Linked DNA regions of Struthio camelus. The protein of the gene in region 3 purifies or fractionates together with the protein of the main gene of each other region. This does not show direct contact. Links are inferred from orthologs where the notes say so. Each region holds a gene or a part of one and is shown on either strand. Other genes may lie near its edges. The genes, in order: ATG9A, AP1S2 and AP1M1.

Region 1 (7,240 bases), on a different chromosome or scaffold from region 3:
TCTGGTGCTCCTTCTGGATCTGCACGATGCGGGCCTGCACCTCCTGCCAGGTGTAGTAGGGCAGGTTGGACTGGAAGGGGGAAGCAGCAAGGTTAGAGGCAGGTTGTGTCTGGGGACAGAGGTCGGGCTGCACCCTGCTCTAACAGCGGGTCCCAGCACACCCTCCTGGGGTACCAGTGAAGCACACGCAACACAAGGCACCTTTCCACATTGCTTCAGCCTGTGGCAGGCAAACCCCATACCTTGCCCCGGTGCCCTCTACCCCTGGACTAGTGCAGATGACTGTTTCCCACCCACTCACACACCAGCTATCTTGGAGGCACGAATACAGCCCCAGGTTCACGTGAGCTCTCCTTTCCTCTCAGAGCTGGGAAGCTGGAAAGCATACCTAATGCTTGGAGTCGGAAGGGAAGTAGGGACAGGGAAAGGGACTTGACCATTGTCCCAGAAGCAGCCTGCGGCAAAGCTGGGGACAAACCAAGCCTTTTGGTTCAGCCCATCTTTCTCAACAGCCTCTCCTAAAAGGAAGCACACACACCCTCTGACGTCCTCACACAGAGGAGAAGATCTAGCAGCAGGTTGTAGGTGTAAGCCTCAAATCCCATCTCTGGCACAGATCTCCAGCATGCTCTTCACCAACTAAGTAGCTCTATGCCTCAGTTTCTTCATCAATAAAGACAGAAGACGATTCTACTCGCCTCCCAGGAGGTATGAGAATACCCTTGCTTATGCCTTTGCTGTTGAAACGCATCACAGAAAAGGCCATCACAGATAAAAATAAACATATTGGGTGGCAGATGGCAGATGCACATGCCAGCACACACATTGACAGGCTAGGCAGAGAAGAGTTAACGTGCAGCAAGTTGGCTGCTGGAAAAGCTGAAAGGAGATCAACACGGTTATGTAACCCTGGGAAGAGCTGGAGGAGAAGGAAGAGCACTTGGCACAAGACTCGTGAAGAAGCTGGCTCCAGAGGGGGGTGGAGGTGAACTGCTTCTCACTGCACAGCAAGGACCTCTTGTTTTCCTCTGCATCCCTGCATAGGGCCCTCAGCCCAGCTACTTACCATGGGGATTCTGAGGGCGTTGATGTAGAAGGAGTGAATTTCCCAGTAGCAGCAAATGTTATAGATAAATTTGATGAGTCGGTGGATCCAGAAAACCCCAGCTATCACCAGGATGCAGATGAGGAAGCTGTTTGCCTGGATTCTGCAGGCAAGAAGAGGAAGATGGCTGGAGTCAAGCCCTGGACAGGAGCCCTTAGTACCTGAGAAAGCAAGAGCAGTGACTAACGTGCCCTCAGCTGCTCCTACCTTGCACTGCAGACATGTGGAGGCAGGAAGGCATCTGGCAGCGTCACCTTAATAGGCTCACTTGGGTGCTGGCTGTGATTTACTGCTTTGTTGGCAAAGAGAATGTCATAATCGACGCAGCTGATAAGAAAGGTGGTGAACGCCACCACAAAGATGAACTGCCTGCAAAGACAGGGAGCAGCCATGAAGGAGTCACCTCATCCACCTCCCGCCCAGAGGCATGGCAGACAAGAGCTGCAAGTCAGGCAGCCCCACAGCCATGGTGCCAGGAAAGCTCATAGCACCACCTCCTCAAAGTGGCATATGGGTTTGGGCATGGACAACCCTAATGAAAGGTGGACAGGACATCTGAGAAGGACACCCTCCTGCCCACCTGTCTGGAATGGCTCGTGACACTCCCACAGCCATTCCCCAGCTTCCCGTCACAGCCTCAACAGCCTACAAGGCACAAGAGCCTGCACTTACATAAGCTCAAAGATCTCCCCGATGAGCATGCAGGTGAAGCCATTCTTCTGATGCAGATTATAGACGTGAGCGCTACAGTCAAGGAGAACAGACTGGAAAGCTTTCCCCTCTGACAAAGGGTGACCTGAAAGACCTCCCGTCCCACCACCATCCGCTACCAGCGATGGAAACCCCCTCCCATCTCTATTCACCAGCAAGCTGGTACTCCGCTGAAGGGAAACACACTCCTTCCAGGTATAGCACAGCTGGAATAAGAGGACCCGGCTTGACCCAAACCCCCTTCTTCCCCCAGAAGTAGATTTGGCCCAGGAAGAGAACAGAAACTCAGCCTGCCCTCAGGCTGCACAAGGGATGGGCGGGCAGGCAGCAGGGAAAGATCTCAGGCACAGGGCAATACAGAGACAGGCAAAATTGCACTTACTAGCCACTGCATCCCATAAGCACAGGGGCTCCACCTTTCCCCAGCCTTTCTGGAAGCACGAAGTGTCCTAAGCAAAGGAGCAGATGCTGCCTGGACCCCCAGTTATGCCAAACCAAGCACCTCTGCCAGCATGGGGAGCACAGCACAAGGCAGGGGGAGCGCATGCCCTCTCAACACAGTGTGCATGTTGTGGAAGGATATACGAGAGAAGAAAAGGTCCAGGTTCTCTATATGATGCCATGGAGCTGAAGGAAGGAGAAACGCAGGGTGAGAGTGCCTCTGGCGCACCTGACCTACCTCCCGCAACACACACAACCCCCTCTTCCCCCCTCTCCGGGTCTCCCTCCCGGGCACCCGACCCAGCCCCACAAACCCCCCATCCCTGGCTCCCCCCAGGCTCTCTCTTCCAACTCCCAGACCCCCCCTTGGCCCTTGGTTGCCCCGCTGATCCCCAGCCCCCAGGGCCAGCCCGGGTCCTCCCCCTTCACCTCAAAGCCCCCAGGTCCCCCGAGCTGCCCAGCCTCAAGCTCCCCGGGAGAGCCCGCCCCGCCGGCCGGCCGGCCCCCAGCCCTCCGCCGCTCTCAGTCCCCGCCCCCCGGTCCCTAGTCCCTCTGCCGGCCCCTTCCCGGGGCCCAGAGCCTCTGCCGCTCTCAGGCCGCGGCCTCGCCCCCGCCTCGCCCCCCGGTGCCCAGGCCCCGTCACAGGCCCCAACGCCCGGTGCCGGTCCCAGCGCCGCCGCTCACACTTGGCGCCCTCGGGGACGTGGACGAGCAGGTCCCCGCCGCCGGGGGGGGACTCGGTGGAGGAGCTCTCCAGGCGCTGGTACTGCGTCTCGAAGTGGGCCATGGCGGGGCCCCCGCGCCGCCGCCCCGGCCCCCCGCTCCGGCCCGGCCCCGGCCCCGGCCCCGCCCGCCCCGCGACTGGCGGCCGCGCTGCCCAATCGAAGCCGCGGGGCGGGGCCGGCGACGGCCAATCGGAAGGCAGGCGGCCCGGAGGCTGGGCTGAGCCTAGCGGCTTCCCGTCGGAGGGCCGGATGTGGCGTAAGGCAGCTGAGGGGCGCTTCCGGGGCGGGGCCGCCGGGGTGGACAGCGGGCAGGGGGCGGCGCGTGCGTGGCGGTGCGCGAGGCCGGTTACCGGGGGGACCGGCCGCGGGGGGGGGAGGGACCCGGGGGGAGAGAGGTCCGGGGGGAGAGGGACCCGGGGGGAGAGGGACCCGGGGGGGAGGGACCCGGAGGGACCGGCCGCGGGGGAGAGGGACCCGGGGGGGAGAGGGACGCCGGGTGAGGAGTAATGGCCACGGGAAGAATCCCCAGGGGAAAAAAGGGCTTAGGAGCTGCGGGGAGGGGGGATCCCGGAGAGCGGGTAAGAGCCTGGGGGGACATCCAGGGGGTGGATCCCGGAGGGAATAATTTCCCTTTGGGGGATTCCCAGAGAGACATTCCCGCCAGGGCGTGAACGGCCACAGGGGGAGAGGGATGGGGGTGCCATGGAGCAGGGATACCCTGTGGTGGGGAGGTGCCATGGGGCAGGGACGCTCTGTGGTGGTGAGCACTGGCTGTGGGAGAACAAGGATCGCCAGAGGCAGAGGGGGATCCCGGGAGGTCAAACCAGGGTCCTGAGGAGGGAAACACTGGCCACTGTGGGGGAGGGCACAGGATTCCTTTTGGGGGGCACCACCTGTTGGAGTTGTTGGGATCCCCCGGGGGGGAAGAGGCTGAAGAAGGCTTTGGGGTCCCAGCCTTGCTGGTGCTTCTGGGTTTGGAAATTCCCTTGTCCTTGTCCTCTGTGCCCTCTGCACCCCCCTCCCATGCCCTCCTCCAGCTGGGAAGCGTCCTGGAGACAGGGCTGTTGCTCACCCTCAGCGCTATCCCCTCTGATCAGGAGCAGCAGCAATGCCTGCCCCAGAGAACAGATCCATTTTCGAGGCTGCCCAGGACCCCGCCTTCGTGTATGGGCTGTCCCTTGTCACTGGGTTTTCGGTGGATGCATCGGTCACAGACCCGAGGCCTGTAAACCATGGTGGGTTTAGCTCCAGGGGAGCAGAGAAGTAGCATGAGGGGGTTATTGGGCCAAGCTCATATCTCTCTGCCCCAGACCACGAGAAGAGGATTTCGTACTCTGCAATACAGCTTGGGTGCCTACTTGGAGCTTGGTGCTGTGAGAGCTGCAGGGTGAATGGTTAAACGTGTTTTGTGTGGACCTATAGTTGTCCCTCCAAGGTCTCTGAAATTCCTCCTACTGCCGTAGTGTTATTTGGGTGCCCAGGATTGTGTGTGGCCAAGAGAAGACCCAGCAGTCCCTGCTCCTTGTTCAGCCCTTGCAGTGGTGCTGCATGAATAGCTGCCTGTGGCTCAGCTCTTACTTCTTCTTCTAGAGAAACGCGCAGCTGCTGGTGGTGAGGAGAGAGCCCACGGGGTCCCTGAGGTGCCCGAGCGGATGTACTGCTTGACCTGTGCGCAGGCGTTTGACAGCCGGGAGGAGCAGGTGAGCCGAGGCCGAGCTGCCAGCATCAGCAGTGGCAGCGCTGAGCAGTTCTGGCACAGCTTGCAGGGTCCTGCTGCGGAGACTCGGCCCCACGGCTACGCAGCACAGTGCTGGCTGCTCTTTGGCGCCCCATTGCCTGCATCCCTGCCTAAGGGCCTGTGTACCCTGCTGGACCCCCCTCACCCTCTTTCTTCCCCAGACTGAGCATTACCGTCTCGATTGGCACCGCTTCAACTTGAAGCAGCGGCTCCTGGGGCGCCCAGCACTGCCAGCAGAGGGGTTTGAAGAGAAGACCTGCGCAGGTGAGCGATGGCGCTGCCCCCAGCAGGGCCCAGAGGCCACCGGGCTGTCCAGCCCAAGCTGGGGACGTGAGCCTCCAGCTGTCCCTGCTTGTTTAGGGTCCTTTTGTTCTGCCCTGATAGAGTCTCCTGGGGGTCCTGGCTCTGCTCCTGGGCCTTGAACCTTTTGACTTGTTGGGAGGGAGGTACGTTCCACTGAGCCCCTGTCTGTCTGTACTTGGGATCTATAGCCCCAGACGGATCTCTCCCCAGCCTACAGCCCCCTTGTGACGGTGTAAGGTGTTGGACAGGACGTTTCTGGGGCTCCGAGTCAGCCCTTGGAGCTATCTGCAAAGTTGGGGACAGCTGTGGATTGATCTCTGCCCGGCTCCACTGCCCCACTTCCTCTTCCTTGCAGGCGATGTTTCCAGCATCTCAGGGTCTGATCTGGAGAGCTCCGATTCAAGCAGTGAGTCACAGTCACTGCCCCCTGTCAGCAATAGTGCTGAGACCTCCCAGGTCCTCCGCTCCCACAAGGTGCTTTTCAGGAACGGAAAGGGCCAGCTCATCTCTGCTTACCGCTGCGTGCTGGGCACTGGGAAGGCAAGTCGCAACTCAGCCTGCTGGGAGAGGGACCCCAGAGAAGAGGGATGACCCTGGGGTGTAGACATCTGCCTGGGAGTTCCCCATGTCCCTGGAAGGGGAGGGTGGCCTCTGGTGCCAGATCAGAGCCCCAGGCTCTCTGATCATCTGTTTTTGACTCTGGGATACTCCCAGCAGCAAGACCAACCTCCCGTCTTTCCCTGTAATTGGACAGACCTTTGTAAGAGCAAAGCCCTGCTCAAACCAGGGCTGAAGCAGTAGCTGAGACCCCCAGCACAGCCCAGTAGTATGGGTAGGACAGGGTGAACCCTGCTCCCTTTTATCTGTAGCAGCCCTTGTCCCTGTGCCAGTAGAGGGGCTGGCCCATGTCGCACAGGACAGCAAGAGGTAGTAAGGTGATCCCACAGGTACTAGCAGCAGGGTCTGTGTCTCAGGGTGGCAGTGAGGAGCCAGCGGAGCTGGTGGCATCGCTCCAGAGCCTCAGTGCAAGCACGTGCTGGGTTGTGCTGATGATGGGTGGTGGACACTTCGCAGGAGCTGTCTTCCAGGGGTGAGTATGGGGGAGCAGACCTGGGGTCACCCTTCTGGGCAGGAACAAGTGCGGCTGGGTGTTGGATAGGCCCTTCATTGATGATGGCTACCCCACCCCCAACTCCCATTTTTCCATCGCAGCGCTTACACGTACCCTGGGCACCAGCAGCTCTGGGTCTTTGCTTGAGAGTTGGCTGTGTTCAGTCTTACTGCAAGAGAAGCGCTTATGGGGCACTGGCAGGGGCAACACCTCTTCCAGGGTCCTGGGAAGCATCAGTTCTCCTCCCCTTTGCGCGTGGGGCCTCATTGCTCATGCCTGCCACTCTCCACAGCCCCCAGTTGCAGGAGCACAAGACCTTCCACCGCTACACAGTGCGAGCCCGGCGGGGCACGTCCCAGAGCCTACGGGATGCCCAAACCCCAGCTGCAGCACCCAGGTCAGCCGGAGCCTCGCTGCGGCGTTACAATGAGGCCGCGCTGCTAAGGGTGAGGATGAGGTCAGCACTGGGCCCTTGGCAGGGGGACGTGGTCATGGCCGGCTCTGTGGGGTGGTACTGAGCTGCTGTTGGAAGTCACACGTGGGGTGTGAGCTCCAGAGGGAGGCCAGGATCCAGTTGGGGCTGCTCTGTCCTGAAACGGTTCCTGCTTTAGAGTTGTCTCTGCCCACGCTGTGCGGTTCAGGACCCCACGGTGCTCACTCCTTCCTCCCCAGGATATCCAGGACCTGCTGGCAGGCTGGGCGCACCACTTACGGGAAGCTCGGCGCATCTTCCTCCGGGCCCCTCGCCACAACCGGACGCTGCTCTTTGGCGGCAGGAACCCTCCTCTCACCCAGGGTGACCCCCGTGTCTGCCACATCCCACTCAGCACCCGCAGGGCCACCCTGCGGGAGGTGCTGCGAGTCCACGCTGTGCTGGCCAGCCTGCAGGTGTACGGTGAGCCGGCCCAGCCCTGTTGCTTGTGGGTCAGAGCAGATGGGGTGACGTGGTCCTTGCACATAACCCCATGTGCATTAAGGCATGCCGCACCATGCAGCGGAGGTGGCAACCTCCTGCCCTACATCCCTGGAGACATGGAGCACTCCCTGTCACCAGGCAATGACGGGAGCACCCCTGTTGCCCAGGGAAGGACACGCCGCTGGAAGAG
Region 2 (6,994 bases), on a different chromosome or scaffold from region 3:
GAAATCAATAGCCAGAATAAAACTGTGCATGCTTTCTTTAAGCATGACCTTATGCACTATTACTCCTCCTTCCCTATGGATGCTTCCTTATTCTTACAAGCTTAAGAGAACTATACCCATCAGTTACATTGGTAACACTCATGTGCATGATGCTACATGCACTGATATATATATTTATATATATATATATATCTCTATCTCTATCAGATCAAGATCTAAGGGTCTAATTCTTGGAGAATAGTTACTAGCTCTTAATTTCAAGTCCAATTCTCTTTCTCTTCCCTTCAGAGAGAAGAGAGCAATATTGTACACACAGAAATTATTTACTATCTCAAAGAGAAATAAAAATGTGTAAACCTTTTAAATTTTATACATAACCAGGGAAGGGAGTTAACTCAAGGTTTCATACATCAGCTTTAGATGGAAGAGATCCATCCTAGCAAATCAGGACGAGAATAACAGTTATTTGTGCAGAAAAGTATTTTCACACGCCTACTTTGCATTACATTCTAAAAGGTCAGCATAAAGCAAAAAAGTTGTAGCCACATACCCTTAGAAAAGTTAGCAATAAGTGAGAAATGAAGCTATTGCCAAAGAAAAGTATACAGTACTTTCACCAAAAGAAAGTTAAGCATGATTTCTCAAGTTAGGAGATACTCCTTTTGTATTCATAGCAAAGAAAATCTATTTACTCAGAAATAAAAGAGTAACATTCTTACTTCTTTGAGCCTTTAAAAGTAAGTTTCAATTTGCAGCTGATTTATGAAGTCACTGTCTGAGGTAAATGTTTATAAAATTTAGTTTTTCTTTATTAGCTATTAAATCATGCATGCTTCATATTTGTACGCGTTTATTTTCTGTGGGCATCTAAGCAGAGAACACGAACCACTCCTTATTAAAGTAGAAGGAAATCTCATCCCTTTTCTTCAGTACATTTTCTAAATGCATGAGTGATTTTCCGCACATGAATGATTCCTACTTGGTTATCAAATTAGATTCAAGGAAAAACCCTCAGAACCTATACTTCTCCATAACCAGTGGGGGGCAGGGAAGGAATGGGGAAATCAACCTTTACTATTTTCTTGCTACTTATTACATTGTTCGTGATGTATGGCAATTATGAGGTTAGTGAGACAGAACAACCTTTTGTAGACAATCTTCAGGTCTCTCCACTCCAGGAAGCTGCACATTTTCGGTTTGCGGGCTAATACTGTTTGAACAAGTTCCCTTGTGATTTTCTTCTTTTCTTTGTCAGATAATGGAACATACCACTTTTGAAGTCTCAGTTTCCCCTGACGACTAAAAAGCAACATAAACTGCATCTGTTGAATTGGAAGCAGAAAAAAAGAAAGAAAGGATTAATCTCAGTCTCTTAGTTGTATAAAGATTTGTATGAGGAGAACCAAATAGGAAGCAAGATAAGGCATCCAAAGCCGCAACCACACTAAATATTTCTTAAGCAGTAGCAGATGCTACATGAGATTTGGAAATACAAATAATATAATATTCAACTAAACAAGGTTAGTCACAGCCAAGATGGAAGAAGGCATACACAAGTTTCAGAAACAGATCTCGGAGACACCGGACAGTGAATAAACCAAAATTTCAGATAAACCATGTCCAGCAGTGATATAGTTGTATTTGCACTTACTACAGACAAGGATAAAAAACAGCATAGCCGTCTCCCGAAACACCCAAACTCGTTTTCCACTGACCGGATTATAGCCTTACAACAGGAGCAATTTGCACTTAAGATCTTTCCGAAAAACCTCAGAATACTTTAAGAGGCATTAAACCTCCCAATGGAGAGTCCTACGGCACAGAAAAGCCTTGCCTCCTCTTGCATTACACAAAAGGAGTAGACATTAAGTGCTGTGCCTGCAGTCCTACCCTCCAGGTCTCGCTTCCTCTAAAGGAGTGATGTTGCAATTACATTTTAAGAGGAACTTGCCGGCTGTGTTTTCCAGCAGCTGTAACATTAAAGGAAACAGCCTTTTTTCCTTCCACCCTTTCTGCTCAAAGTTGTACAGTGCTGAGGAAGTTTCCCAGGCAATCAGCCAGGCGTGAAATACCACGAGAAAGCCCAGCCTCGCCCCGGGTGACAAGTTCCAGCAGCGCCAGCACAGACAAGGGGCAGCAGAGGCAGCCCCGAAGCCCAGCGGTGCCGGGGGGTCCCTCCGCGCGGGCCGCCCCCCCACACACACACTCCGGCCGGCACCGGCGCCACGTCCCCCCGCCGCGCCCGCCTGTCTTCAGGGGGACCCTCGCGGCTCCCGCCGTCCCCGAGCAGCCGCCGCGGCTCCTCCCCAGCCGCCAACGGTCGCGGGCGACACCAGCTCCCGTCGCCTCGCCGCGGAGACGAGGGGCGGCTACAGAGGTGCGGGCCCGCGCCGACCCGCTCTCCCCTCCCTGGGCCGGGCGGGGGGCGACGGCCGTAGGCAGCTCCGCCCGTCCCAGTCCGGGGTGCGGGGAGCGCTGCCGCCGCGGTGTGTGCGGGGAGCGGCCGCCCCGTTCCTCAGCCGTTAACGGCTTCTCCCTGGGGCAGCGCGGGGAGGGGGGGGGGGCGTCCCACAACTGGGGGCGCGGGGGAACACCTGCCCCCCCCCCCCGCCCCGTCCTGTCGCAGCCCGCAGGCAGGCTCCGCGCCCCGGCGCGGTGGGGGAGGCGAGTCCGTCCCCGCGCGGCGGTGCTCACCGTGCCCCGGGAGGGGGGGAGAGGAAGGACGAGGAGGAGGAGGAGGACGCGGCACCGCTACGGCGGTGGCTGGTGCTGCCGCCACGGCTGCCGAGCGGGACTGAGGGGAGGGGAGGGCAGATACCGCCGGCTCGAGCCCGGCGCGCGCGCGCGAGAGAGAGAGAGAGAGAGAGAAAGAGAGACTCAACGGCTACCCCCGCCCCGACCTGCCCGAGTGGGGAGGGGGGAAGGGGCGGGGCCGGGCCGGGCCGGGCTGACGGACGCCGCTCCCGGGCGGGGAACGGAGTGGGCGGGGCCAGAAGGCGCCGCCGGTTTTTCCCTCCTTTCCCCCCGCCTCCCCCGCAAACCAAACTTTATTAGCTCGCCGGCTGGCGGGAGGGGCAAGGGGAACCTGCGAGCTCAGCGCAGGCGCGGTGCAGGCACGGGTGGGGGAACGGCGGGGAGCCCGCCGCCACCCAATCGGGGAGCTCAGCGCCCGGTGATGGCCAATGAAAGGGAGGGAGAGGGCGGGGAGGGAGGAGCTGGCGCTGGTAGTGGGAGGAGCTAGGGCAAGGAAGGTGGGGTTAAAGAACTTAATCCGCGTGGCCCAAATTAGGATAGGGCAATGGCCCGCGCGGCAACAGCCAACCAGGAAGCGCAATGCAGATAGCGGTTCGCAAGCAGCCAATGAGCCGGCCAGGCACGGAGCTGGGGAAATGACATCAGTCAATCAGGAGCCCGGAGATAGAGGCTCCTCCTTCGCCCTCCCCATCCCCGAAGCCGAGAGGGGGGCGGGGGGAAAGGTGCCCGCCCGCCCGCGCGTGCGCGGCGCGGTGTTTCTTTCTAGCACGTGCGGGCCCCGCGTGGGGAGGAGAGTGGGGTGGGGGGAGGCGCGCGGGGCGGGGCGGGCGCTGGGGGGCGCTGTTGCGGGGCGAGGCGGGTGCCGCGGGCGGCCGTTAGGGGCGTGCGCGGGGGCGGTTTCCCCTGAGGAGAGGGGTGTCGGCACTGGGGCGCGGGCGCTGCCGGGGCGCGGCCGGGCCCACGGCGCGGCCGAAGCGCCCCAGTGGGGGTGGTGGGAGGGGTGCCGGGCTTCAGCAGGCGCGGTTGAATTTCCTCATCAGCCTTTCTCCCAAAGTCACCTTGATTGTGATCGCTAATTAAATTCCCAGGATTCCTCACAGTCGTATGTTTAGGGGATTGAGTTATGAAAATGCATTTTTTTTTTCATTTGTGTACAGCCAAAGAGGTTTTCCACAGCAAAACAGCTTGACTTGTTTTGGGTGGGGGTTGGTTTGTTTTAATGCTGCTAAGCTGAAAATATAAGGTGAAAATGTAGTCTGAAAGGGATTGAAAGAAACAGCTCTTTCAGCTGGAGTACATTAAAAAATCCTATAGTGACTTATATTTCTTGACACTATTGGTGCCCTTCACCTTGCCAACATTAACGATGGAAATAATCAGACAAGGTGATTTTTACCAGGTGATCTTTAAATGGCTCAACAGAGCAACTGGCAGAAAAAGGGAGTAGGATTGTGCTGCCCTCTCTACCTCTTCATTAAGAGTAGCTTCAGTCGCTCTGGGAAGTGTCATGCTTTTATTACTTTTTATTACTGACATCCTAAAAAAAAAAAAATCTATTCTTCTGGCTACAAAACAGCTGTGGCAGCAGAAACCAGCACTGGAAACGCTTTTGTGTAGAAATGTGGATAGTCTGAAAGGAAAGCCAATTTTCTGGCATTTCAAGGAATGCTATAATCAATTGTACTTGAGGAAAATTGCAGATATGTTACTTTCCCATTTTCCCATTTTATGGTACAGATTATAATTGTAAGATGAAAGTGACATGGGGAAAAGGAGACATGCGTGAAACTAAAGTGAATGAATGAGGCAATTACGGTATTAGAGTCACATAGAAAAGGAGCACTACTATTGTTGGTGCTTGTCCTCATCATATTTAATGTTTACTTAGCAGCCATCCTGTTCTCATTTGAACTTGTCTTTCGTTAAGTCCAGGAACAGATGCGTATGGATTTGTTAGCTCAGACAGTCTACTCTTTTGCCTGTGGAACTACTCTTCTGTACATTATTTTGTCCTCAGTAGTTTTAAAGTTCTCAAGCAGTGCAGCTCTGTTGGCTCCTTGTGGGGCTATTCCACAGTCTAAAATATCCTGTTGTTCAGGAAGCTTTTATAAATTCTCTCCTTAATTTACACTTTATTATTCTTCATTTTAGCTCCCTGTACTTCATGAATTCTCCATCATGAGTATATACACACTTCTAGTGTTTATAAATCTTCTAAATCATTGTATAATCCAGCACCCAACTTTCACTTCTCTTTATCTGAGCTATTTCCGCTATATTAGCATCGTTATGGTAATGGGAGCTCAGAATTGAATTTCTGAAGGAGTCACACCAGACCTGTATTATGATTTGTCACTTCCCAGCATACTGAAGTATTTCTGCATAGATCAAACCACACATTCTACAAACGCTTAGTTAATTGGAATCACTAGAACTACCCAGATGGTTCAAGAAATATATGTATTTTGGTGTCATAAAGGCAAAGTCTAAAAACTTCCCTTTTTTTTTTTTAATCCTGCCTCTTTGTTTTAAATTTTTGTCACATTTCCTGCTCAGTTTTCAGTTTATCGTTTCTTAAAATGCCAGCAGAGCACTGTTCTGTTTTTCTCCCACCTATCAATTACATGACTGGATTTCTTCTCTTTAGAATTTTTAGCCTAGAGTTTCTTACTTAAATCTCCTCTTGATCAGAATCACTCTGTTAAATGCAGTTTCAGGTGTATGATAAGGCACGTGTGAACTGTGATGTGAACTGAGGCTCACCAGGTCTATCTCAGCTGCAGTTTCTGCCCTCCTCAGCCTCCTCATTGCTGTTCCAGCTGGAGGATGCCATTTTCTCAAGCTTGCCTGTATCGCCACTGATACGATCGTTCTTTAACTCATTTCTGTCAAAATGAGACGGCTTATTTTAGGCAGTTTAAGGTGTGATTCCATGGTGGTTTCAGATTATCTAAATCACATCTTCTCCCAACCCTCTTATTCCCAGCTCCACATTGCCATCTCTTATCCTATGCTGACACAAATGGTTATGCTGCCTCTCACTTAAACAGCAGGGTATTGCTAATGAGGTTTGTTTTGGCTGTACAGGTGAGGATCAAAACTGAGTCAGTCTGAGGATCCAGTACCTCTAGCAGGAGGGCAGTGACGGAGGTAATGTTGTCCTTTCTCTTTGTGCTGTTTCTTCCAGGAACTTCAGATGACTTGCTGCTTGCAAGAGTTGCGATTTGTACTAATTATCCCTCTTTATACCCACTCCGTCTTTCTTTTCTGTAAGAAATTATGCTGTCACTTACCCATTGATCTAGCAATATACTGAACTAGCTGTAATTAACAAACTGATAAAGATACATATGATGCTTATAACAATAATATAATAGCCTTTGTGTATTCCACAAGCCCATGACAATGCAAATGTCATGCAGTCTAATTTTAGACACGACACAGTGAGTCTTCTGTTCATTAGCCTTTGTTTATTGTTTTATAACCAGCTGTAACAAGATGGATTTTAAAGAATGAGCTCAGTATTTTAGTTTCCAAACCATGAATGATAACCCCCTATTTTAATAACAGCTGTATTTTTTAACGGCTATAGTAGTAAAAGTCCTTTGTATTCCATCTTAGATTTAAAGCAAGTCTTCAGGGGATATATCCATTGACCATACAACATTTGGGGTCCCCAGCCAAGAGTTTACTCACTAGATTATTTTCAGCATGATTTGAGACACAGAAGAGAACTGCCTGGAGCTGGGGAGAGAGGAAGAAGGGAGGGAGGGAGGAAGCTTACACAAAATAAGATTAAATTTACTTGCTTTTGCCTGCTATGGTTTATGTCTGTTCTTGGGGTTTTGTTTTTTTTTTTTTCTCTCAATTAATTAGAATATATTAGGTTTGTCTGGAATGTGGGTATGAAAATTAATAAGGCAAACTACCAACATCCTGGCATCTGGCCCTTCATGCACTGTTCTAATGCCAAATGTGAAGCCCCTGATAGCTTTTTGTTGTGTTTTCATTGTTAGCCAAAATGATGGGTAAACCAAGAGGCTGTTATAACATGAACTAGTTATTAATTCCAAAGGAACAACTGATTATTGAATTTTAACAGCTTTTTTTGCAGGAAAGCAACCCAATATTTGGAAAAAAATGCTTTGCTCCCCCTCCTTTTCAACTGTCTTCACCTTCTTGAGTAGGTGGGCAGCATGCTTTTCAAAAGAGTATACTGTATCTTTGCAGGTCTCCACTA
Region 3 (7,851 bases):
GATAGTTACCACGTTTACCAGAGTATTCTTTTTTTGGATGGTACTGTCGCACAAAAGACCCGATGTGGTTTTCTACACTGGCAAAGGGAGCAGTTTATCTTCTAAGAACAAATCCTTTCACCTGACCCTCAAGCATTTCAAAGTCTAAGAATTCAGACAACATTCTCGATGATTACAGAGGTATCATTGAAATACTCACGGCCTGTATTATCAAAGAGAACTTTGTCATTTAAACCAAGGCGAAGCTCTGGCATTCCTGAGAGAAAGACTCTCATTTTAATGGATCCAACAATCTCACTCCGTAATACATTTCCATTGGCACTGACCTGAGGAGCAAGGAAAAGAAAGGTCAGAATGCCCTGATGTCATATGTCACGAGATCAAACAACACTCCGCCAGCCATCCCAATTTTCTTGGATTTCTTTCTCCTGAGAAGTCATGGAGTAGAATCAGGGAGGTGATGAGGACAGATGGAAGGAGAAGGAGCAAAGAACATGTCAGAGGCTAGCCTCAGACTGGTCAGAAACAAGATACATCCAAGTAAAGTACTATTCATCTACTGGGTGCTTTTATGCATACTCAGTCTTAAGACACACAGATTGTTTTAAGCATCACAGTGCACCCAGCCACAGTTAGTTTGACTCTCTATTGTACCCTTGCAGGCCTTGTAAGCTCTTTATAACACTTACTACTACAACTCTCAGTAAAAGTTCAAGAAAAAGGTACCCACCAGAAGGTTAACAGATTCTATAACATCCAGGAACACCTCATTTTTCCTATATTTTATCCCTTCTGATCTCCATGAAACAGCATTAGTAACAGTGGCAGGTGGACGGGGAGCTCCAGTTTCAAGTTTGTGACCTTCCTGAGTGATATACCTTTACAAACACATAATGGAGATAGAAAACATGAAAATTACACTTTACAGCTTTTGAAGCATCTTTAACGTCAGATTTACATAAAAGAAGTTTGAAGCTACAAACCTAAATCTTAGGAAGTATTTGATTTTTTAGCGAATAGATCAAGCCAAAACATTGGTTTGTATGTTGCAGAATACTCAAAGCTACCTAAGAAATCTGTCACTGAAAGTGAGGCAGACTGTTACTTACTCTTGTAAAATTTTACTATCAGTGGTTTGTGGATAACCAAAATCCATAAGTTCATCTAATAACTCATAAATAATAACAAAATTATCCCGAATGCTCTCTTCTTCCAGCTCCTTAAAATATTCAGAAAAAACCTGAAACAACAGTCAGAGAAAGGAAGTGAAGGAGGAGGGTATTAATTGAGGAACAACAGCATATTCACAATGCATACTTGCTAAAACACACCTCATTTAAAAGGGAGCTACAGCATCTTAGGCATACCTCTGACTATTATGAAAAATACTTATTCCAGTGAAAGTATTTTTCACGCCAAGTACAGATAAACCAAACATAAAACCTGCATTTTATGACACTATGCACGCACCAAATTCCTAATCCTCCTCTGTGTTCTCAGGTCTTACGCGACTACTCACAACATTGTGTCACATCCTTTGCCTACTCAGCTACCCGTTCTATTATTAGCCATTAGAAAGACATTTCTATAATATAACCAAAAACAAATTAAAAGTGCTATTACCACAGTGCTCTTTTTAAAAGAGTGAAAGTTCTACGCACTTTTATTTAGATCAGATTTAGATTTAATTGAAAATAGGCAGAAGTTAGTTTTAAAATTTCATACTCACCTGAACTACTTTATACAGAAATGAAAACACCAGTGATACACAAGCATTTTTCTTAGAAGTTGCAACAACTGATAAAGGATGTTCAGGAATATGCATTCAAAATTACCATTCGAAAGATTTTTTTACCAAGTGCATTTTCAAAGTTATGGTATGGCAATTACAGTTGGCCAAAACATTAAGATTTAGTTAACAGTATCTCTCGTCACGTTAGATGAGAAGATTCAGACTTAGTTTATTAGAGTAAAATTAATATAAATACTTTCCTATGCACTGTGCTACTAGTGCACACTACACTATCTAAGCCATAAAGCCATTTTATTTAATAAAGTCTTCCTTATACAACTTCACCTATTCTCTAGCTTTGCATGTAGATATAAACTGTGAAAATAACATATCAGCAATTAACATCAGCGTATGTAAATGACTTGCAATATAAAGGATACGATATAGGTTGTTATGTTTAATCCACATAAAACGAACTCCTCCGTGTGCTAGAATAGGAGAAAGCGTCCCCTCTTCTTCCTTCTCCATAAGGATTGGCATAAAATGCTCCACCTCTGACATGTCCACATCGCCGCGGTAATTTCGACAGATGAGAACCTACACAAAGAACAACAAAGCCTTTAATCTTTTTCTCTTTCTACAGGTGATGCTACCATCCAGAAGCAACACAAACGAATCCTCGGAAAGCCTCTTTAAGTAACTTGAGAGACATCAGTTGGTTTCACCCTAGCCACTCTGCAGACTATACGTGCAAGGTACAACTCCAAAATACTTTGTGGACTACAGTGCAAGCACTAGTTTTCCATTGAGAAGTCATGCATTAATGTTTTCTAGACTCACTCTCCCCCTATGGCAGCACACACCCTGGTAACAGCTTTTAAGATGGGGAAAGCACCTAAATCGGAGGAGATAAACGACCTCCAGTTACAGCAGAGCGTGATTACCCCAGACGGGATGCCCAGGAGCCCAGCTGGCAGGTGGGACAGCCGCAAACCTCCCCCCCCCCAGCGTCTCTAACGGCCCAGGACAGACCCAAGCCACCACTGCCCCCCTCGCAGCCCAGCAGTGAAACCGGCGCTGAGGGGCCCGCGGCCCCCACAGGCCCCAGCAGCAGCCGGGCCGAGGCCGGCGGCGCCCCGCAGGCCCCCTCAGCGGCGCGGGGAAGGACCCCGCAGGCCTTCCCACCCCGTCTAACCCTCGGCTGGCCCCGGGCCTCACCTTCCCCTTGAGGTCCAGCACGTAGACGGCGCTGGCCGACATCGCGCCGCCGCCGCCCGGGCCGCCCCGTCTCCGGACCGACCGACCGACTTCCGCCTCCCGCGCCGGCACTTCCGGCAGGAAGCGGCGCAACGAGGCCCGGCCGCCGCGAGGAGGGATACGAGCGCAGCGCCCGGCCGCCGCGGCGGAAGGACACCGCGCTGCCCGCGCGTCGCCTAAATAGGGCCCTGGGGGTGGCTGGGTTCAGACCTCTCTGGAAATGGGTCCGCCGCTCAGTAGATGGCCCCGGGGGTTGGGTTGGGCAGGAGTAACACCCAGGTGAGGGGCTGCAGGCCACGGGGTGGAAGCTGGTGGCCAACCCAGCCGTGGCAGGCCAACCTCGTTTTTAAGAGGCAGGTTGGAGTTTTGAACATCATCCCTCGGAAGAGAGTCGGAATTGTGCACAAAAGATAGAAATCGCAGGAAAAAGGCCCCATGCAAACACCTGTTTTATCACTGTGCTGCCCTTACCTCTTTGTACAGGTCACCAAACACCAAAAAAAAAAAAAAAAAAAGCATTTTAATGAGAAGTTACATCAGAGTTACAAGAGGATTTTAAAATACAGCAGAACCCACCCTGAGCTCTGAAAGAACTCTAGGTGCAAACAACTGATACCATTCCTATAATTTACAAGCAAAGCTAAGTGAAGAGACTGTCCGAGATTCTTCCGTTCCAAGAAGGAGAACAGTTAGTATCAAACTAATATAGAAACATTTTCCAGCTGGCTCCTACCAATTGCTTTTGGACTCAGCCATGCTTCGAGCTCTAAGAAAACAGCCCACTGCACCTATATAAACCAGAGCTTTCACTAGCGAAGAGGAGGCTTAGTTGACTACTTGGTGTAAAAGACAAAAACAGTGAAATAAGACAGCGCAAGGTCACAAACGTTCAGAAGATATATTAAACATTCAATACCGAGAATACACGGATTTACATAGCGACCCCTGTTCGATACAAACACAACTCCAAAGCCTTGTAAGAAAACCGCCCCTTCACTTCGTCCAGCTGACTTTAGGAATGTCGTAGTGCTCCGTCAGAGTATCCAAGTGCCTGTTAAAGTCCTAGGGGAGAGGAAGAGAGCGAAAACATGAAACGTCTGATGATTTCGCTAACGCCGAGGCGCGCCAGGGCCCCGCTGCCTCCCACCTTGGGGGCTTCACAGAGGCAAAAGGGCTCCTCCGGGCCCGCGCCATCCTCTGTGCTGACAAACACACGCTGGTCGCAGTAAGGAGTGAATTTAGTTCTCACCTCCACTCGCTGTTTATGGGTTTTAGACGCTTTCTTCAGGATCCTCTCCATTTGCTGTGGGGGGGGGGGGACACAGGAGAGGCGGTTACTTCCCCGCGCTCGTCGCCCCCTCAGGGGCTGCCTCGGGGGGCCCGTTTGGGCCTTTCAAGCCCCAGCCCGAGCCGCCGGGCCGGATTTAACCCCGGCCCGGGTCGCCCTACCCGCTTCTCCTGCATCTTCTCGTAGGCCACTTGCGCCGGCGTCCGCTTGTCCAGGCCGCGCTTCTTCTCCTCCTCCTGCTTCTTGCTGCTCACGATCTGCTCCAGGATCTGGCCCTTCGCCTTCGCCTTCTTCTTCTTCCTGCGGGCACAAGGCGGTCAGCGCCGAGCCTCCCCCCAACCCCGGCCCCCTCCTCCTCCTCCGCCGCCCCTCACCGCTTGCCGGCGCCCAGGGCGCCGCCGCTGCCCTTCAGCCGCAGCGGCCCGCGCTGCACCGCCTCGTAGTCCGCCATGGCCCGCGCAGCGCCGCCGCCGCCGCTCCCGCACTGCGGCGCCCCCTGGCGGCCGCCGCAACGTTGCCCCGGCAACGGCCGCGCGGGAGGCCGGGCGCCAGGAGCGACTCCCCCTTTTTCTGTGAGGAGAAAACCGTTAGGAGCCGCCCCGAGGGCGCCGCGCAGAAGCGCCGCTGAGGAAACCTCCTCCCGCCGCCGCCTATTTTCCACACCCAACGGACCGATTCTGAATAATTTTTACTGATTTCAAGGCGGGGCGGTGAGTGAGAGGCCGGCGTTTCTCCTCCCCCGAGGCGGGAGGATAGTTTTGCCTTTCCGGGGTCTCCACCTCACAGATGCATCCTCCAAACCAGGCGTCAGGGCTTCGTTTGCTGCTAAAGCTGCCAATTTACTGGATGAACGGCCGAGAAGGAAGGTTTTACGCCTTGCCCCCTGAACATGTATTATTATGCAGCCTGCTACGTGCCATAGAAATGCAGTCAGTTATTCCCTCGACCCTTAAGTTTCATATTTCATGTAACCTTTAACATCACATATCGGTTTTTATAGACAAATCATATATTGACATGTATTTTAGTGTAAAAACCACATATGTCTATATGTATGCATGCCACACTAATAACCATTAAATAGTGATAATGTATATTACTAGATAATGCAGAATAGAGTGATTGGGCTTTATAGATACTATCTCCAGTACAAACTGCCATGTGCTGTCTGTGGGCAGTGTACAGTAAATATTATAGAGAAAATTCAGAAAGAAAGGACGGGGGTGGGGGGGTTACTTTCATTATTACTTACTTCTAGTATTTAATGCTAATTCTTAGAGAAGACAGACATTCCAAACAGTTTTTAGGTCTTTTAAAATATTTGAAAGAATGAAAAAAAAACAAAAAAAAGCAATCTACAAGGTCTACTTACCATTTCAAAGACACGACCAAGAAGCTATTAGTTGTTTGTCCAAATACTGTAATATGAGTCTTTGTTGTGCACACAGGAGACAGGTGAGTGATGCTGGGTAAGAGCCTTAAGTAGCCAAACTAAAGATTAGATGAAATGCTCCTATTATGATTCTTTGTAGCCCATGCAATAGGGAAGCTGGTTACTTGATCCTCTGCTACCTGAACCTCATTGTTGCAGCTTTTAATGTCTGAATATCCAGACCTCCTATAAAGGTAACTTTGAGGAAAGAATGATGGGACAAGAACCAGCCTTCAGAGCCAGAAATGGGCAACAAGCAAACCATTTTCACTCCAGAGCAACTGGATGCATATCAGGTATAAAACAATGCCAAACTAAATGGCTATTTAGACAGCACATTGAATAAGGATGTGTTTTTAAAACAATCTTTTCAAAAATTGTTAAGTGTGGGTATTGTTACATCAAAGGTTTAAGTAACATAGTTTAATTTTGCCTCAAGAGGAAGAAGGGTTATGAAATAATCATTATTATAATGCCAAGAAAAGAACATTAATGCTTGGCCACTTGCATTACAATATGAGTGTTTAAGTCACTGTAGTGGAAAAGTTTGGGCCAATGCATTTAAAACTATCATTGCATATTATCTTTTCTCTTATTTCACAGGACTGCACATTCTTTACAAGGAAAGAAATTCTGAGGTGAGTCTTGTGTGTGCGTTTTGTGTGTAAGGTACAGAGATTGCTATAAAGGCAGGCTACATATGAGGTGGTTTTTAAAATATTTTAAAAATGTATTTATGCAAAATTAATGTGATAGAGGACAGAACAACTCCACATACCTTTGGACAATGTGACCCTCACTGTTGCTTTTTTATATACAGAAAGTACATCATTTGTCATGAACTGAGCCAGATCTCTAAATTTTTATTAAGGTACCAGTCTCTCTGTGTGAAATAAATGTAACAATTTATGTTTTACTGTACGCCTTCAGTGACATTCATGTTCCCTCACTTTGTTCCATAACAAATGCTTCAAAGTATGCTGTTATAGTGTGGGATACTTTGCCTATTTTATAAAATCAGTAATGTCTATATCAAATTTTATTCAGATTTTTCATCTCTTGATGTAAATAATTAGTCCTGGAAAACTGTTCTGCTTTGATACTGTAAGGTGCACTTTTCCCAAAGCCTTCATGGGCCTCATGGACCAATCCACTTAATATCTGTCCAAAGGAAGTGATAAAGACAGGTTCCCTACTTTGTTGATGTGGAATTGAGTCTTCACTGCAAACTTGAACTTGTTCTCCTCTTGTTGTAAATTGTACTTTCACAGATAATAACACACATAATAGCAAGGTTGCATTGCCTTTGCTAACCATTGGGCAAATTAACGGAAAGATAAAGGCAAAGTATCTGCATCTCTCAAGAGATCATTCCACGTTACTTGCTAATTTCTCTGAAAGACAGAGCACACGTGGCAATTTTATATGGAACGCATCCCTGATTAGAACCTCAGTACAAAATGACAAATGATTCTGTAATATGTGAAATGTAAAGCTGTCTGCCTTTCCGTGTAGTAAATAGAGGCCAGAACCATAACTGTATCATGAATAAGACATTTATTATTGATAGGGATCCCTTTTAACATTCTGTGCTATTGTTTTGTTGACAACAGCTGTGAACAGGATCCTTAGCCTAGTACAAGAACTGAAGAAAATAGCGTGGTGAAAAAGTAAAAAACTCATTCAAATGATTATGTGCATACTTTCTGTCTCCTGAACCTAGTTCTACAAAAAAAAAAAAAAAAAAAACACAGAAAAATACTTGGGGTGGGTGAAAGTATCCTAGGGTTGGTCGCAGATTCAAGAGCTCAATCTCTCTGGCTTTAGGCATCCAGATTTTTTTTTTCTTATGTTCACACCAAATCTTTCATGCTGCAGTGTAAACCTATTATTTCTAATCACATTCATCATTGACTTGGAAAACAGATCCCTCTTGCCTGACAACAACTTTTTATGTATTTGAAAACTGATTAGGTGGACCTTCAGGTTGAAGGTCTTGTGCCTTGTTATCATAAATTCATAAATCATAAATACACTACATGCCTCTATAGCATTGTCTGCACTATTGAAGTAAATCTGAAACTTTGGTGGTGGTTGTGGTGGGGTGGGGGGGACCCAATCCCTCTCCTCTTCCATTTTCAG

What was found.
Region 1: the proteins of AP1M1 (region 3) and ATG9A purify together in Homo sapiens (affinity purification with western blotting, with the first as the bait; 3 studies listed by BioGRID). This does not show direct contact. The link is inferred for Struthio camelus from reciprocal best matches to the Homo sapiens genes AP1M1 and ATG9A.
Region 2: the proteins of AP1M1 (region 3) and AP1S2 fractionate together in Homo sapiens (co-fractionation; 6 studies listed by BioGRID and IntAct, counting the BioPlex papers as one, with this or other methods). This does not show direct contact. The link is inferred for Struthio camelus from reciprocal best matches to the Homo sapiens genes AP1M1 and AP1S2.

What each region holds. Positions count from the first base shown.
Region 1 is NC_090947.1:28,034,164-28,041,403, reverse strand, and holds the start of ATG9A (autophagy-related protein 9A), read right to left. Parts: upstream 3,088-7,240; 5' UTR 3,045-3,087; coding exon of another isoform or gene 2,942-3,044; intron 2,444-2,941; coding exon of another isoform or gene 2,400-2,443; 5' UTR 2,363-2,399; coding exon 2,199-2,362; intron 1,850-2,198; coding exon 1,778-1,849; intron 1,475-1,777; coding exon 1,313-1,474; intron 1,267-1,312; coding exon of another isoform or gene 1,209-1,266; coding exon 1,067-1,208; intron 71-1,066; coding exon 1-70. Other genes in the region: tRNA endonuclease ANKZF1, read left to right, coding at 4,091-4,217, 4,573-4,682, 4,882-4,984, 5,379-5,563, 5,998-6,113, 6,427-6,591, 6,807-7,029, 7,223-7,240. UniProt on the Homo sapiens protein: Phospholipid scramblase involved in autophagy by mediating autophagosomal membrane expansion. Cycles between the preautophagosomal structure/phagophore assembly site (PAS) and the cytoplasmic vesicle pool and supplies membrane for the growing autophagosome.
Region 2 is NC_090942.1:139,270,922-139,277,915, reverse strand, and holds the start of AP1S2 (AP-1 complex subunit sigma-2), read right to left. Parts: upstream 3,026-6,994; 5' UTR 2,695-3,025; intron 1,323-2,694; coding exon 1,144-1,322; intron 1-1,143. UniProt on the Homo sapiens protein: Subunit of clathrin-associated adaptor protein complex 1 that plays a role in protein sorting in the late-Golgi/trans-Golgi network (TGN) and/or endosomes.
Region 3 is NC_090967.1:5,185,613-5,193,463, reverse strand, and holds the start of AP1M1 (AP-1 complex subunit mu-1), read right to left. Parts: upstream 3,096-7,851; 5' UTR 2,993-3,095; coding exon 2,951-2,992; intron 2,330-2,950; coding exon 2,173-2,329; intron 1,798-2,172; coding exon 1,730-1,797; intron 1,241-1,729; coding exon 1,110-1,240; intron 879-1,109; coding exon 731-878; intron 327-730; coding exon 200-326; intron 1-199. Other genes in the region: protein FAM32A, read right to left, coding at 3,983-4,051, 4,239-4,292, 4,439-4,577, 4,652-4,728; CIB3 (calcium and integrin-binding family member 3), read left to right, coding at 5,955-6,005, 6,313-6,347. UniProt on the Homo sapiens protein: Subunit of clathrin-associated adaptor protein complex 1 that plays a role in protein sorting in the trans-Golgi network (TGN) and endosomes.